Sus scrofa: one gene and its partners. The main gene of each other region encodes a partner of the protein of the gene in region 2 in a complex. Links are inferred from orthologs where the notes say so. Each region holds a gene or a part of one and is shown on either strand. Other genes may lie near its edges. The genes, in order: FGF23, KL, FGFR3 and FGFR4.

What was found.
Region 1: the proteins of KL (region 2) and FGF23 are in contact, whole or in part, in a cryo-EM structure (PDB 7YSH), measured with the Homo sapiens proteins. The link is inferred for Sus scrofa from reciprocal best matches to the Homo sapiens genes KL and FGF23. Residues at the interface, in NP_004786.2 of Homo sapiens: Phe377, Lys385, Leu389, Glu390, Pro392, Trp417, Phe418, Ser420, Lys429, Tyr432, Tyr433, Lys436, Phe437, Arg468, Ser471, Ile472, Arg556, Arg693, Asn694, Met695, Thr696, Tyr697, Ile735, Val752, Phe755, Asp756, Asn782, Asn783, Leu785, Ile812; in NP_065689.1 of Homo sapiens: Leu39, Met74, Ala80, Val88, Arg91, Leu166, Ile167, Phe169, Asn170, Ile173, Arg175, His177, Asp184, Ser185, Glu186, Arg187, Asp188, Pro189, Leu190, Asn191, Val192, Leu193, Lys194, Pro195, Arg196, Ala197, Arg198, Met199, Thr200, Pro201.
Region 3: the proteins of KL (region 2) and FGFR3 are in contact, whole or in part, in a cryo-EM structure (PDB 7YSU), measured with the Homo sapiens proteins. The link is inferred for Sus scrofa from reciprocal best matches to the Homo sapiens genes KL and FGFR3. Residues at the interface, in NP_004786.2 of Homo sapiens: Ser539, Gln540, Phe541, Thr542, Asp543, Asn545, Val546, Tyr547, Leu548, Trp549, Asp550, Val551, Ser554, Lys555, Arg556, Leu557, Val563, Lys566, Arg568, Tyr571, Val573, Ala576, Pro580; in NP_000133.1 of Homo sapiens: Gln286, Leu288, His290, Val291, Val293, Gly299, Thr303, Pro304, Tyr305, Val306, Thr307, Val308, Leu309, Lys310, Glu320, Leu324, Ser325, Leu326, His327, Asn328, Val329, Glu332, Asp333, Thr338, Leu340, Phe347, His349.
Region 4: the proteins of KL (region 2) and FGFR4 are in contact, whole or in part, in a cryo-EM structure (PDB 7YSW), measured with the Homo sapiens proteins. The link is inferred for Sus scrofa from reciprocal best matches to the Homo sapiens genes KL and FGFR4. Residues at the interface, in NP_004786.2 of Homo sapiens: Ser539, Gln540, Phe541, Thr542, Asp543, Asn545, Val546, Tyr547, Leu548, Trp549, Asp550, Val551, His553, Ser554, Lys555, Arg556, Leu557, Ile558, Val563, Thr565, Arg568, Tyr571, Val573, Ala576, Gln579, Pro580, Glu625, Arg628; in NP_001341913.1 of Homo sapiens: Asp266, Gln282, Leu284, His286, Ile287, Ile289, Gly295, Ala296, Asp297, Gly298, Phe299, Pro300, Tyr301, Val302, Gln303, Val304, Leu305, Lys306, Asn311, Ser312, Glu314, Leu318, Tyr319, Leu320, Arg321, Asn322, Asp327, Thr332, Leu334, Leu341.

Annotation. Positions count from the first base shown.
Region 1 is NC_010447.5:66,027,303-66,031,402, reverse strand, and holds the start of FGF23 (fibroblast growth factor 23), read right to left. Parts: upstream 2,813-4,100; 5' UTR 2,628-2,812; coding exon 2,432-2,627; intron 1-2,431. UniProt on the Homo sapiens protein: Regulator of phosphate homeostasis. Inhibits renal tubular phosphate transport by reducing SLC34A1 levels. Up-regulates EGR1 expression in the presence of KL. Acts directly on the parathyroid to decrease PTH secretion. Regulator of vitamin-D metabolism.
Region 2 is NC_010453.5:9,425,766-9,430,048, forward strand, and holds the start of KL (klotho), read left to right. Parts: upstream 1-1,470; coding exon 1,471-2,280; intron 2,281-4,283. UniProt on the Homo sapiens protein: May have weak glycosidase activity towards glucuronylated steroids. However, it lacks essential active site Glu residues at positions 239 and 872, suggesting it may be inactive as a glycosidase in vivo.
Region 3 is NC_010450.4:892,290-895,501, forward strand, and holds the end of FGFR3 (fibroblast growth factor receptor 3), read left to right. Parts: coding exon 1-87; intron 88-165; coding exon 166-288; intron 289-367; coding exon 368-438; intron 439-600; coding exon 601-738; intron 739-817; coding exon 818-923; intron 924-998; coding exon 999-1,145; 3' UTR 1,146-2,677; downstream 2,678-3,212.
Region 4 is NC_010444.4:80,850,944-80,855,254, forward strand, and holds the start of FGFR4 (fibroblast growth factor receptor 4), read right to left. Parts: upstream 2,849-4,311; 5' UTR 2,678-2,848; intron 1-2,677. UniProt on the Homo sapiens protein: Tyrosine-protein kinase that acts as a cell-surface receptor for fibroblast growth factors and plays a role in the regulation of cell proliferation, differentiation and migration, and in regulation of lipid metabolism, bile acid biosynthesis, glucose uptake, vitamin D metabolism and phosphate homeostasis.

The DNA of each region.
Region 1 (4,100 bases), on a different chromosome or scaffold from region 2:
ATGAAACACATTTCACTGGAAATGTATAATTAATTAGGAGAGGGAAAAAAGCACCTCACACCTTAACGTCTATGGAAGAGCATTGCTTTGCACGCTTTACAGAGGTCATTACAAATCCTTCTCCAGCCTGTTACTTAGTTGTGCCACCTAGCTGCACACGTCAGTGTTTCTTCCTTCCTTTATAAGTGGTAACTTTTAATCTTAATGTATAAGTAATATATATATACATCTATAATATATATATAATGTGGAATTATATAATATATAATTACATATAATGTATAATTATATATTATGTAATATATAATTATATATATTCCTTTTTTAGTAACTTTTAATCTTATATATATAATTATATATTCCTTTTTGGGTAAGTTTTAATCTCAATGTACATATATTATATAATAATATATAATTATATATATTATAGCTATATAATGCTTATGATAACCGTTTTGAATAGTATAAAAGGTTATATAAACTAGAAAACGTGTCTTCCTTCCACCCATCCCCACCCAGTCCCCACCCACGTTTGTTAATTGTCAGAGACACAACGCTTTAGTGAGGGTCTATATTGGACAGAACAAAAGCACATTTCTGTGAAGAAAAGAAATCCAAAGTCAGTTCAAGTCCCTTGGCGTCCTCTCAGTCTTTTTAATTCATTCCAACTAGTGCTCTGTGCCTCCTGGGGGCTGAGGTCGGTGGATACAGGAGGGCAAGTTCCGGGAGTGGTGCCGTAAGCTCAGTCGTCTGAGCCCATCCCCCTCCTGGCACCACTCACAACCCCCACCCAGGACGTGTCTTGGGAGTCTCCTTTCATCAAAGGGATTCTATGATTCTAGATAAGTTTTACAAGCATTCTCTACTTGTCTGCAGCCTTTTCCATCTGTGGGAATCAAAATACCATAATCTACTATCCTGCATTTTAAATCACCTCTTATCTTGAAGTAAAGGGGGCCCTCCAGGAGAGGTGCAAATTTGCTTTTTCTTAAAAATCGGATAATGAGCTGAGAGACCCGAAGTGATGAAAGTCTAGAGGTGTTGGAAAGGCCAGGGCTTCTTTTGAAGTCACACGGCTTTGCATAATATCGGACACACTGGAGGTTGTGCTAAATAGCCATTGAATAAAACGAGCGATAATTTGGATAGGTCAACTGTATCCAGATTTCTTTCAGATTCTCGCCATGGGACTCAAACTTGGCTTCCAAGATGTTGACTCCCGAGTCCTACTGTCCTCCCCTGAGTTCGGGAGCCTGTTTGGTATTTGGGAGACCCTCCTCCTTCCCTTCATCTCCTGTCATCACCCGTGGAGAATTTGAAGAGGTTCTGAACTAAGCATGTGCTTCTATCTTGCTACCAGGTTTACGGACCTTTGACTCTTGGCCGAATGAATGTCTTGCATACAGCACGGCTGCGGCAGGATGACTGAATAATTTAGTACAACAACAAAGGGCAAGCCATTATTCTATAAGAAATTGGCTTTGATTAAAGCGACTATGATTACTCTCTCATTCCTTTACTCAGACCTATTTGGAATCAGTTGGCATTTTTTCTACATCCTTAGAGTAATTTTTACAAGTTCTCCTAAAACAGAAGACCTTGTCTTTTTCAATTTGTCTTGCCATCACCCCATTGTCCCTTCTGGAGATATCTGAAGCACAGCTATAACTGGCTGACTGTTGTGATCCAACTTTCCACAGACCTAATCTTTAAAGGCATTCTGGTTGTGTTCATGTTTTCAGTGAGTTCTCAGCCAGTTTCATTTGCTGCTGAGTGGACCCTTCAGCTCCACAGAGAAGACTCACTAGCTCATACGATACTGGGTACCGCTGAAGCCCCGAGTAAACCTGCGGGATGCATGAGCCCAGGGATGGCTGTGTGGATGCACTGGGGCAGGTGCATCAAACCCTCCTTCCTAGACAGTCTGTCTTTCATGCATTTTCCTGAGATCTTTTATAAGGCTGGAAGCTCGGGGTTGGAAAGAGCCCCCTGGGTTCATCCATTCCAAACCTTGGGAATCTTCTTCACAACCTCCACGGCTAACCGAGTCGTGAGCCAAAACTCAGTGTCTACGGACTGATCTGGCTTCTTTCCCTCCCAGCCTCCGTGCCTATGTTTTGGACATTTTTTAATTCTTTGGACAGGGCAACGAGAAACTGGCTGCTATCGTGCGCAGACAGATTTTAATTGAGATGGGAATTATTCTTGTTGGGAGAAACCGGTATATTAGGGAGTTTGAGGAGGTGGCAGAATTTTCTCCCAAGGTTTAAATACACAGACACACACACACACACACACTCACACGAATCCTGGACAAGAAGCCAGGAGGCTGGATTAGCCCTCTGGTCCAGCCAGAGTCTTCCCAAGTCCCTGCAAGTGGGTGCGCAGAGGAGCCCCCCTTCTTCCCAGCCCAGACGGCACCCCCACTCACTGTAGATGGTCTGTTGGGGTGAGCCATCCACGTGGCCATCCTTGTGGATCTGCAGGTGGTAGCTGTTCCTGGCCGTGGCCGTGTACAGGTGGGTCAGGCCGCCCCAGCCAGAGCTCAGCAGCGGGGAGGTGTCGGGATAGGCTCTGGCCGCACAGCACAGGGTGCAGACCCAGAGCCCGAGGCGGGCCCCCAGCATCGCCGCTCTCTGACTGGCTGGCGCGGAATTTGAAATCTGACCCTGCCTCCCCAGCTCCTTGGAGACCTTGCAGACCTATTTCTCTTCCTCACCGGTTTCTGGCCTGAGGCTCCCAGGCTGCATTCCCTCCTTTTTTCCCTCGGACTTTTAAAGGGTAGCACTGTGACATCAAACAGGAAAAACTCCGCTGTCCACATCCTCTGTGTTGTAATCAGCCCATTTGAAGAGAATACAGGGACCTTTGAGGCTCACGGAAGGCACTTCGGTTCCACACACACACACACACACACACACACACACACACACACGTTTCAAGCCAATGCTCCAAAAAGTGAATGATGTGTGGGCAAAAGTTATCTACGACTCTGGGTTGTCCGCTGACCCGCCTCACTTCCACCAGGAAATGTGAAGGCAGCCCACGGTTCTGAAAAAAATCCAGCTTCGGTCATGTAGTCGACAGACGCCTGTGTAATTAATCTCCCATCAAGTCACTCATTTTGGTTTTCTCAGTCTGTTTAATTCCAATCAAGATCTGTGCATCCAGAGCTTTCTCTGTACACAGCACTGGGTGGGTGTGGGGGGTTTTTTTTGTTTGATTTTTGTTTTTTTAATTTTTTCCCTCCTTTTTTTTTTTTGGCTTTTTAGGCCGCACCTGCGGCATATGGAGGTTCCCAGGCTAGGGGTCAAATCAGAACTACAGCTGCTGGTCTATGCCACAGCCACAGCAATGCCGGATCCAAGCCAAGACTGTGACCTACATACACCACAGCTCATGGCCACGCTGGATTCTTAACCCACTGGGTGAGGCCAGGAGTCAAACCCGCAACCTCATAGTTCCTCGTTGGATTCGTTTCCATTGCACCACAACAGATACTCCTGTTTTTTTATTTTTATGGCCAAACCTGTGGCATACGGAGGTTCCCAGGTCAGCGACAGAATCTGAGCCACAGCTGAAACATACACCACAGCTGCAGCAATGACAGATCATTTAACCTACTGCACTGGGCTGGGGATTGAACCTATGCCTCTACAGAGACCGGAGGCGCTGCAGTTGGGTTCTCAATCCACTGCACCACAGCAGGAACTCCACTAGGTGAGTGTTTCAAGGGATACTGCCATAACCCAGGACAGCATCAGGCAATGGTGTCCTCCGAGGCCTCCTCCTCTGAAGATATGGGAGACCCCCCCAAGGCACCAAAGTCGCCACCTTGGGAAGATTTCAAGATGGGAGTAAAGAAGAAAGGCCTCGAAGTCACGGCTGCTTTATGACAATCTTTGGCTTGATGGCGTGCTTCACCTAATTTGTACTGCCTAGCACCACTCAATTCAGAGACCTCATGAAAATGGGAAGTCTGCTGACTGAGCACAGAGAGCAGAGCCTGGGAAGGTAGGTCCCAGCAGCACAGCTGCAGTCCAGGGGTCCCCATAATCAGTGTCTATAGGATGCCTAGCTCCTGGGACTGGATGTGCCCT
Region 2 (4,283 bases):
TCCAATTTGGACCCCTAGCCCGGAGAACTTCTATATGATGCTTAAAAAGAAACAAACCAAAAAAAAGAATGGATGTATTTCTATGAGGATCTTATTCATTACAGATGCAGGTGTGCCAGGATTGAGGCACATCGTATTAGAGAGAAAGGCGAAGATATCTGCAAGAGCTAATACATTTGTTGGGGCTTTCCACGTTTGAGTTCTCTGTGTGCACATCTTTTTTCATGTAAGCATCACAAGCCTCTAAGTTGGCAGGACAGACAGGCCATCTCCATTTTACAGATAGGATCCCAAGGCTTGGAGAGATTGTCCCTCCCAAGATCACAGAGGTGAAACCCGGACTCCACTCCTCTCCAGTTATTCACAGATCAGGTAAACACACTCAAAGGAGACACTGGGTCGCCACCATTTCTGTCTTCGGTAACCGGAAAAACGTCATTACTCTATTTTGATGTAGAGGGTGCTTGGGCTAAATCCCTCCTCCCTTTTCCCTTCACTGATCTGGTAGCCTGTGCGAGACCAGGGGGCTTCCTGAACCGGAGCTGAAAGCTAAAATGTGATTACTCAAAAAACAGATGCAAAGGGGTCGCAGAGGTGGATGATAGTTACAAACCTGTCTCTCTCTCTCTCTCCCTCCCCCCCCCCCAAGGACATTCACAACTGTCATTTGAAGTTTACCATTTCCGCAAGATGGAATTAGAGAACAAGTGGTCTGAGACCATTAAAAGATAACAGTAGGAGGGAGAGGAAAGCAAAGGCCATCGCAAGTCATGCATCTCCTTTGTCTTCCTCGAAAGCACCCTAGACTGGGCCCCACAGGACTTGCGATTCAGGCTGCGCGAGTCGAGTGGGTCTTCACGGGAGCATTGTCCCTGAAAAGACCTCAAGAGAAAATCCACCCCCAGTCCTTCTCTCCAAACATTGCAAGTTCCGACCTGGCCCTTCCTGCCCTGACCTCCCAGTACAATCTCCGCCAGTTCCCAACCGGCTCTAGTAAATGTCAGTCACTCGAAGAGAAAGCAGGTGCTTCCCTGCGGGAGGACCCGGAGAGGTCAGGCAAAGATCCTGCGCCCACCTCGGGAAAGTTGGGTGGCCGCCTTCCTTCGACGCGCCTCGGCTCGGCGGCTTCCTCCAGGAGGGTGCGCGGGTGGTATGTAGAAGGCGGCGCGCAGGGAACTCTCCTCGCTGAACCATCCCTAGCGGCCCCTGGGAGCCGGGAGGAACAGGTGCTTTTTCTCCGACGTCCGGGAGCGGCGCCTGCGGCACCTAGCCAGCTATCGCGCCCGGGTCGCCGGCGCCCGCTCGCCCTTTGCGCCCCCGCCCCCCAACCCAGGGCGGGGGGAGGCGCGGGGCCCCAGGTAATTATTGCCAGCAGGGCCCGCCGGGGAAGCGGGGGTGGGCGCGCCGGCGGGGGGCGGGCGGCGCGGGCATAAAGGGGCGCGGCGCCCCAGCGCCCGGCTCCCGCGCAGCATGCCCGCCCGCGCCCCGCCGCGCCGCCCGTGGCCGCCGCTGCCGCTGCCGCTGCTGCTGCTGGCCCTGAGCGGCCGCTGCCTGCGCGCCGAGCCCGGCGACGGCGCGCAGACCTGGGCCCGCTTCGCGCGCCCTCCGGCCCCTGAGGCTGCGGGGCTCCTGCACGACACCTTCCCCGACGGCTTCCTCTGGGCCGTGGGCAGCGCCGCCTACCAGACGGAGGGCGGCTGGCGGCAACACGGCAAGGGCGCGTCCATCTGGGACACTTTCACCCACCGCCCCGCTGCGCCCCTCAGCGGCCCCCCAGGAGCGGGCCTGCCGTCGGGCGTCCCGTCGCCGACCCTGCCCGCCACGGGGGACGTGGCCAGCGACAGCTACAACAACGTCTTCCGGGACACGGAGGGGCTGCGCGAACTCGGGGTCACTCACTACCGATTCTCCATCTCGTGGGCGCGGGTGCTCCCCACTGGCATCGCCAGCGCCCCCAACCGCGAGGGGCTGCGCTACTACCGGCGTCTGCTGGAGCGGTTGCGGGAGCTGGGCGTGCAGCCTGTGGTGACCCTGTACCACTGGGACCTGCCCCAGCGCTTGCAGGACACCTACGGAGGCTGGGCCAACCGCGCTCTAGCCGACCACTTCAGGGATTACGCTGAGCTGTGCTTCCGCCACTTCGGCGGCCAGGTCAAGTACTGGATCACCATTGACAACCCCTACGTGGTGGCCTGGCATGGCTATGCCACCGGGCGCCTGGCCCCCGGCGTCCGGGGCGGCCCGCAGCTTGGGTACTTGGTGGCGCACAACCTTCTCCTGGTGAGTTCGAGGGGCCACGCTGGGGAGAGGGCCGCAGGAGACGCCAGGGGGCTAGAGGAGTGGCTGAGCCTCCAGTCAGAGGAGGCTCCGTTTGAGCACATCTGTGAGGTCACCTGGGATTCACACCGGGGAGGATGGGAATGGCGGCTTGAGCATCTCGGGCTTCCCCGGAAGGCTTGGAGTTGAAATGGGAGGGAAGCCCTGCAGTTGGTGTCTGAATGAGTGCCCTTTTGAGCCCATTGTCAAAAAGAAATTGGAACCAGTTTCTCCTGTGAGAAAAGGGAGCTCCTTTCTCTGTGGGTAGAGATATTCCTAGAGGTAGGGTGCGGGAGGGCTAGGAGCAGCCACAGGGAGCATGAGGAGCACGGAGGAAAGAAACCAGTTTGTTCAGAAGTCACAGAGATAGCTTTACTCTCTGCTACAGTTTGTGGAAATGTCTGAGTTCAGTTTCAATCCAATAAAATCTATCTTGCTTGTGGCATAAATTCATGCTGCAGAGAATTTGAAGGTGTCAAAATCGCATCTCTTGCACAGCAGAGATGTGATTTGTCTTTGGAAGTTCTTTCTGTAGCAGGACTGAGAACTGCATCCCCCAGCCTTGCTTAATCAGCAGGGGTATGTATCACTCCTTATATAATCTTAAACAAAGCTACCCATAAAATGCAAAAACAATTACAGGGTGATACAGATTGGGTCCTACAACAACTGTATTTCCACGACGCTCTCTCCAGTTGGAAGGATTCCTCAGGGATGAGATTATTAGCCTGACAAAATTGATTTTTAACACCTTGTGCAAAAGGCTTAATAAATTTTGACAGCAGGAAGAATTGATGTGCCATGATAAAGCTGTCTCCCAAATAATTCTTCCTCCTTTTCCTCCTTTACTTAGTGCTCAAGATTAGATCTCATTGATTTGAGGGTTCATTTATAATGTCAGTTATTGGCACACTTTGTACAGAGATTTGTATGATGAGAGACTATTTTATATATATAGTGAAAGTGTTCAAATGTATAACTTTTGGCACCATATTTAGGTGATTTGTAGGCCAACTGGAAGATCTATTTTTAAGTTTAGAATTAAGCAACATACTTTGAACAAATTCAAGATGAAGACCACTGCTACACACTTTTAATTGAAGCCGTAGATAATTGAAGCAGAGCAGTACTGGGCTATCGAGTTGACTTACTGCCTGGAGCTGCTGGTAATGTTGTAATAGTGGCTAATTAGATTGTATGTCAGCTCCACAAAACCTGTTTGCTACCACAGATCATAAAAGAATGTGGGATTTGTTTGACAAAAAATTTGTGATTTTAGTGATTCCATATTGATAGATATTTTTCATTAAGATACTTTAGACCAGTGATAATCAACTTTTTCAGTCTGTTAATTCTTTTAAGGAATCAGAAGACTCCAAATAGTACCTGTTCATGGTTGGTCATAGAAAAACTGTGGGAAAAGCTGGCCCCTCTTTTGAAGAAAATACAAGCAAATTTCAGTTTATACCATAAACAAGAGATTTGTGGACCAAGTGAAGGACCTAATAGGCCACTCCTGCAAAGTCACTACTTTATATTTAAATCAAATGAGTTCTATTTTTAAATGCATGTAATAAGCCCTATGGATATAAAATTATCAATTGTTATTATAGACACTTCCAGGATTGTTCCATGAACAAGATAGGATTTGGGACTACAGGAGCTTTCTAGTACTCTGGTATTTTAAATAGTCAACATGCTTTTGATTCTTGTGCCCACTCTTGGTCTTTTGATTAACTTCCCAGTTATATTTTTGTATCCTTACACAAAACCTTGCCAAACACTAACTATTCTTCCCAGAAATGCAGTGAACTTTGTGTTCATAAGAAATTAGTCACTGGTGGACAGTTGGTTTTGCTGATGCTGCAAACAAAACTATTGTTGCTGTAAAATATTAATTTTGCTTTCACATTTCTTTGGTTTGGAGTGTAGTCATTCTTGCATCTTCTGAAGTAAGTTGTCATGAT
Region 3 (3,212 bases), on a different chromosome or scaffold from region 2:
CTGCCCGAGGAGCAGCTCACCTTCAAGGACCTGGTGTCCTGTGCCTACCAGGTGGCGCGGGGCATGGAGTACCTGGCCTCACAGAAGGTGAGCGGGGGGCCGGCCGGGGCGGGCGGGGGCAGAGCGGCCGCCGCCCGGAGGCCTCAGCCCCCGCCCCGCCCCCAGTGCATCCACAGGGACCTGGCAGCCCGCAACGTGCTGGTGACGGAGGACAACGTGATGAAGATCGCGGACTTCGGCCTGGCCCGCGACGTGCACAACCTCGACTACTACAAAAAGACCACCAACGTGAGTCCGGCCCGCGGGGCGGGGCGCAGGGCTCGAGCCCGAGGGCGCCTGGGAGCCAACACCCCCCTTCCTCCCCCAGGGCCGGCTGCCCGTGAAGTGGATGGCACCCGAGGCCTTGTTCGACCGCGTCTACACCCACCAGAGTGATGTGTACGTGCCCCCAGCCCTGCGGGGGGAGGGGGGCGTCGGTCCAGGCCCCTCCAGGGCAGGGGCGGGGAAGCCGTGGGGGCAGAGCCAGCCCCCCGCCCTCGGCAGCGTCTGTTCTGGGGCAGCGGGCCGCAGGGCAGGCTGACGTGCGGGTCCCCCCCACAGCTGGTCCTTCGGGGTTCTGCTGTGGGAGATCTTCACGCTGGGGGGCTCGCCGTACCCCGGCATCCCCGTGGAGGAGCTCTTCAAGCTGCTGAAGGAAGGCCACCGCATGGACAAGCCGGCCAACTGCACACACGACCTGTGAGTGCGCGGCCCCGGCCGCTGCTGGGGGGGGCGGGGGCGGGCACCGGGCGGGGCCGGACCTGAGTGCCGCCCGCAGGTACATGATCATGCGGGAGTGCTGGCACGCCGCGCCCTCCCAGAGGCCCACCTTCAAGCAGCTGGTGGAGGACCTGGACCGCGTCCTCACGGTGACGTCCACCGACGTGAGTGCTGGTCCCGCCCCCGGGGGGGAGGGCGGGGGGGGGGGCGGCACTGACCCGCCCCGCCCCCGCCCGCAGGAGTACCTGGACCTGTCGGTGCCCTTCGAGCAGTACTCGCCGGGCGGCCAGGACACGCCCAGCTCCAGCTCCTCAGGCGACGACTCGGTGTTTGCCCACGACCTGCTGCCTCCGGCCCCACCCAGCGGCGGGGGCTCGCGGACGTGAAGGGTCGCAGGCGGCGGGCGGGCCGAGCCCCCATCAATGTGAGAGCGGACCCCAGCCCACCGTGCGGCTGCCACGGGGTGACCACGCGTCCCACCGGCCAGACCCAGACGGGTCCGGGTGGGCGGACAGACGGCTTTGTGGGTGTGCGTGCACACGCGTGTGCGCAGGGGTCCCTGGGGTGCCTGCCCTGCTGGACAGTGACCTCCCGGCCACCTGTGCCAGCAGCACTGGGGACCGAATGTAGAATGCAAGGGGCTCCTCAGGGCAGGGAGCTGGGCCCCCCACTCCCTTTCCCCCCACTGCCGCCCCACAGGGCATGTCGGGGTGGGCCGAGCCCCCTCCAAGTGCCCAAGCTGAGCCTACCGGTAAGGGCCCCCCGTGACACACCTCCTACCCCAGTGGCACCTGCGCCCGGGGTGCGTGAGCGGCCCCCACCTCCAGGCCTCCCCACCTCCCCGCTGCCCCTCAGAGACTGAAATTACGGGTACCTGAAGGCAGGAGCCTTCAACTTCTATCCGAAAGGTTTATTTCAGAGATGAGTGTACATTTATATGCATAGATGCTGTGTATATGGTATATACACATACGTATATATATAAATACCTATATGGGAGGAGGACGCTGGTACAACTGAGGCGCGGGACCCTGAGGGCGCAGGCGGCGGAGGGGCTCTACTCGGGGAGGGCCCCTGGGGGTCTCACTATGGAAACAGATGCAGAAACCAGCAGAGGATGGAGGGGCTTCTCTGGCACCGCGTTTGGTTGTAAAGATTGTACCTGGACCTGTATATTTGTAAAGCTATTTATGGACCCCCCCCCCCCAGAGCCCGTGTCCCTGTTGCTCCCCGGGCTCCTAGTGCTTAGCTGGCCGTGTGGCAGAGGTTTAAGTTTTAACTTATTAACAGTGAGAAGGTTTATGCTTCGTTTAGGGGGGTGGCTGAGGATGCGTCCAGCACACCATCCGCGGCCGGAGCCGGCCCCCGGCCCCCTGAAGGGGGGAGAGTAGTTTGAGGTGATGCCAGGGAGGCTGTTTGATTTCCTTTGGCCTTCTTTTGCAGGAGACATAGATGTCTATAGGATTTTCTTTAGGAGATTTATTTTTTTGAACTTCAAAGCAAGCTGGTATTTTCATACAAGTTCTAATTGCCATGTGATCCAGGCAGGGAGGCAGGTTCCGCGGGGGCCAGCCCTGCGTACAGGCTCAGATGTTATTAGATATTACGAGTTTATATATATCTATATATATAATTTATTGAGTTTTTACAAGATGTATTTGCTGTAGATTTAACACTTCTTATGCAATGCTTCTGGACTTTTATAGCCCGCACTACCTTTCAGAGCTTGGAAGAGAAAGCTGCAATTTCCGTTTCATTACTCTTTGTACCGGTAACAGCCTTGCGTTTGGACGGATGTTTTCTGTCGCGGGCTGGGGTAGGGCTCTGTTCTCATGGCCCCCAGCCTCGTGGGGGCCAAAGGTGTTGGCCCAAACTGGCAGACGTGCCTTCCGAAGAAAATAAACAGACAACTGGTTCAGATCCGTGCTTAACTTATCTCCTGTCCTGGAATCCGGACAGCTCCCATGTCCTCCCTGCCCAGCTGGGGCAAGTTCTGTCATCTGCCCGCCTCCCCCCTGCCACCATCCCCCCTCCCCGTCCCCCGAGGAGGGAGGGAGCCCTAGTTGCTGCTGGAGCAGTGGTGGGGCGGGGGCTGTGAACTGGACAGGCTGCCTGGGCCTCGTGTTCTCCAGGGGTGTCTAGCCTAGGTCTCCGGCTTGGACAGGATGCGTCCAAGCCCCGCCACATCGCGCCCCCCTCTTACCTGCCTTCCCAGTCAGTGGGGAGGGAGCGGTTTCTCCATGGGGCAACCCCCCCCCAACAGAGCCCCGTGGACACCCCTGGTCCCTTGATTCAAGTGTCTGCACTACTGGCCACAGTCCTGCTCCTGGCCAGCTTCCCTCCCTCCCACAGGCCAGGCACCCCCCTTGGGCCCCTCCAGTGCCCCCCCCCCTTGCTACCACAGGCCCAGTGACAAGATCTGGACCCACGTGTTCCAGATCGCCCCCAGCCGT
Region 4 (4,311 bases), on a different chromosome or scaffold from region 2:
TAAATGAATTTATTACTGAAGAGCCAAAAAAAAAAAATCTGAAATATAATACAAGGCCAAATATCAGCATCTGGATGTTATCTGATCTGATCCCCACTCTTTAGCGCATTGCTGACATTTCCATGACCAGCTTTGGACACCTCCAGTGGCAGGGCACTCACTACTAACAAGGCAGTACGTTTTATGGCAAGTGGAAGCTCTCTCTCTTTTTTTTTTTTGTCTTTTTAGGGCCACACCCATGGCATATGGAAATTCCCAGGCTAGGGGTCGAATCAGAGCTACAGCTGCAGGCCTACACCACAGCTCACAACAAAGCCAGATCCTTAACCCACTGAGTGAGGTTACGGATCAAACCCAAGTCCTCCTGCATACTATAGTCAGGTTTGTTACCGCTGAGCCATGACAGGAACTCCTCCCCCCCGCCCCTTTTAAGGCCACACCTGTGGCATATGAAAGTTCCTGGGCTAGGGGTTAAATCCAGGGCTAGGGGCCACAGCCATAGCAACACCGGATCCGAGCTGCATCTGTGACCTATGCTGCAGCTTGTGGCAACAGCAGACTCTTAATCTACTAAGCAAGGCCAGGGATCAAACCTGCATCCTTGCCGACACTCAATATGTCGGGTTCTTAACCCACTAAACTACAAAAGAAGTCCTCTCTCCTGCAAGGCATGCAGAAGTTTCCGGATCAGGGATCAAAGCTAAGCCAGAGCAGCAGCAATGCTGAATCCTTAACCCTCTGAGCCACCAGGGAACTCTCAGAAGTTCTTTCACACTCTGAACCAAAACTGCATTCTGGAGATACTTCTGTTTTCTGTGCTTCCACAACTCCATCTGAGGCAACACAAGCTCTTGTAAAGGATGTACACTCTAGTGTCTGACAGAGCCAGGATCAAATCCTGACTCTTACCAACTTGCAAGTCCCTGTCCCTCTCTGGGCCACTCTCCTCCCAGGACTACTTTGAGGATAAAAGAGAATGTATGTAGGAGGTGGGCACACATAATGTTGGAATGTTCTCTTCTCCATCTGCCTCCCCATGATTGTCACCCTGGGTCTGCCCTTGGCCAGGGAAGTCACCTCTCTCTGTGGTGCTACTCACCTCAAGTGTGATGTACACACACACACCCCATCCAATTACCCTCCTCCAAATGCTACCAAGGATGTCTCCATCCCCCAAGAGGAACACTCAAAACCGAACCTCAGCCAGGGCAAAGGAAGAGGGTGACCAGTGTAGTTCCAGGGGCCTACCAGCTATCACTTGGGGCTGGGTAACAGGTGGTGCTGGTGTTTCTGGATCTACCTTGCCCAGGAGTCCCATCGCACCCTCTCTACTTAGCCTCTTTTCCCTCTTCAGCTCTGCTTCTGAGGCAAGTGGCACTCGGTGTGTCCTGGCCAAAGTTATTATCTCCCGCTTCAAACTGCTCCTTCCCTGAGTTGCCTCCAACTGGGGCATCACTTTCCAAACGCCTCTCCAGTCCATCCCTCTTCCCCTGCTTGAATCTAGAGCATGCCACGGTCATCTCTAGCTTGGACCTTTGCAAACATCTCTCTGGGTTCTCCAGCAGGGCTTCAAAAATGACAAGTCTGGGAAGTTCCCTGGTGTCCTAGTGGTTAGGACTCTGTGCTTTTCACCAGTGTGGTCCAGAGTTCAATCCCTAGTCTGGGAACTGAGATCCCACATCAAGCTGATTAAAAAAAAAAAAAAAAGTCTGTCCCACCCCAGCTTACAAGCCCTTAATGGCTGTCTATGTGCAGCAGGACCCAGTCCACACTGTTTATCCAGCATCCTAGGCCTCCCTCCATGCCCTTGTCCCTATCTTTGGCTGCACATTCTGCTACTTCAGTACTGTTAAACCATTAGTTTTCAAAACTGCACGTCTTCTCTCTTGCCTATACCTCCATGCTCCCCATTTCTCTTTTCCACATAGCTCAGAAGACACAATTTCCACTATCTCTGTGCCCATCACTGGCTTCCATTGCCCTTCCTCTGTGAAATCCCCTCACCCTGCTCTGCTCTGCAGAAAGGGCGGCTCTCTAGGTTGGGAGTGGAGTGGGAGGCCCAGGGATTTTTATCCCACCCCCAGGCTACCCTGACCTCAGAACCTTAGTCGGGTCACAAGGGGCCGCTGACCGACGGCCCAGCACGTGGGGCCGAAGGGCCTGACTCTGGCACAAGTAGTCTTGTGTTCTCCAGCCTCTCGCACCCAAGCGCTGGGGGACCCTGGACAAATGACTGCACCTCTCAGAGCCACAGCCTCCTTATCTCTACTCGGAGCCCGCACACGGTCGGGGACAGAGGGACCAGGGCGCTCTTCCTCCTCCACCCCAACCCAGCCTCGCTGGGGGCAAATGCCAGTCACGGGTCCTGAAGGAGAGCTGCAGAGACAGCCGGCCCGCCCCCGCCCCGGTGGGCAATGAGTAACCAGCTCCGCGGCCCGGGTGCTCTTTGGACAGAGCGGGACAAAAGGCCCTGTGTGCGCTGCGGGTTACTGATTTACCGTCCCCATCAACCCCCCCCGCCCCCCCACCGGCTGAGCGGACGCCTAGGTCCTCAGTGCTGGGAGGGGTCAGCTCCCAGTCCCGCCGCCGCTCGCCCCCTGGCGGCTGGGAGCGCAGCCTGGTCCCGGCTCACCTCGAACCTCCGTGGACCCGCTTCCAGCACAGGGTTCCGACTCACCTGGGTCCTCTGCAGCCCGGCTCCCAGCTTCCACCAGCCCCGACCCCTGCGCCCAGCGGGGATGGCAGGCTCAGCCCGGGAGCTGCTCAGCCCCGGGCGGGAGAGCCAGGAATGCACCCGCGACAGCGGCGTGGCCGCGGGGCGGCCCAGCGCCCCGCCCACCTCGAGTTTCGCCTACTTTGGGCTCCTCCCCTCCTGGACCAGCTCTGTCCTGACAGAGACTGGGCCGGGAACAGCCCAGTGCCCCGCCCATCTCGGGCCTGGCCCCTCCTGGACCAGCTCCTGACAGCGGGTGGCATAGCGTCCCGCCCACCTGGAGACCAGTCCTCGAACCCATCAGCGCCCCGCGGCCTACGGGGCGGGGGAACGGGGGGGGCGGGGGGGCAATCCTAGCTGGCACATCCCTTCCGATTCTGCCTTTATTTGCCTCACCCAGGCCAGGCTTCCAAGTTCTAGTCCATTGCTCCACCTCCTGCACTTCATCCCTCTGGGGACAAGACCCAGCAGTCCTGACCCGCCATTTCCGTAGACTCTGGCTTAGTCTGGCTCCTTTGTCTTCTGCGCAATTGTCATACAGTAGCTAGTAGACCTACCCAGCTTGTACCCCCATCCGTTCTCTGAACAACTTTCAGAGTGATTTTTTTTCCTTTTTGGCCGCCTCCGGCCTGTGGAAATTCCTGGTCCAGGGATCGAATCCATGCCACAGCAGCGACCCAAGTCACTGCAGTGACAACGCAGGATCCTTAACCCGTTGTGCCACAAGAGAACTCCCAGAGTGATATTTAAAATACAAATATGGGAGTTCCTATTATAGCCCAGCCATAACAGTAACCTGACTTAATATCCATGAGGACAGGAGTTGTATCGCTGCCCTTGCTCAGTGTGTTAAGGATCTAGCGTTGCCTCAAGTTCTGGTGTAGGTCGCAGATGTGGCTAGGATCTCAGGTTGCTGTGGCTGCTGTAGCTCCCATTTGACACCTAGCCTGGGAACCTCCGTATGCTGTGGGTGCAGCCCTAAAAAGACAAAAGAAAAAGAAAAGAAAAGAAAATACGACTGTATCAACCACAGCCACCGCTTTAAAACTTTCCAAGAACTTCCTATAGAGATTCTTGGCCTGACCTGGCCCACCCACATCTTCAGATAAAGTCTTCATTCACTTCCTCCTTGCTCCCACCGCTACCTCCGGGCCTTTGCAAATATAGTTCCTCTTCCTGGAGTGATCTTTCCCTCTAGATCTGGTTAGTTCCATCTCATTCTTAGGTTTCATCTCACTTCCTCAGAGAAACCCTTTAAATTTGTCAGGTTCCTCTTCCAGGTCTTTGCTCCTGTGAGCATGGGTAGTGAGAAGGGAGTGAAGTAATTCAGAGCAAAAATTGCAGGACTCAAAGCTCAGCACCTTCACACATGGACTTATCAAGTTACTCCATCCCTGTGTCTTGATTTCCTCATCAGTAAAACAGGTAGAATGACAGTATCATCCTCAAGAAGTTGTCACCAAAAGCAGACATGTTTTCCTCATACACTGTTGGTGGGAATGTAAAGTTGTGCAGCCACTGTGGAAAATGGTATAGAGGTTTCTCAAAAAACTAAAAGTAGGAGGAGTTTGTGGCTCAGCAGAAAGGGAACACAACTA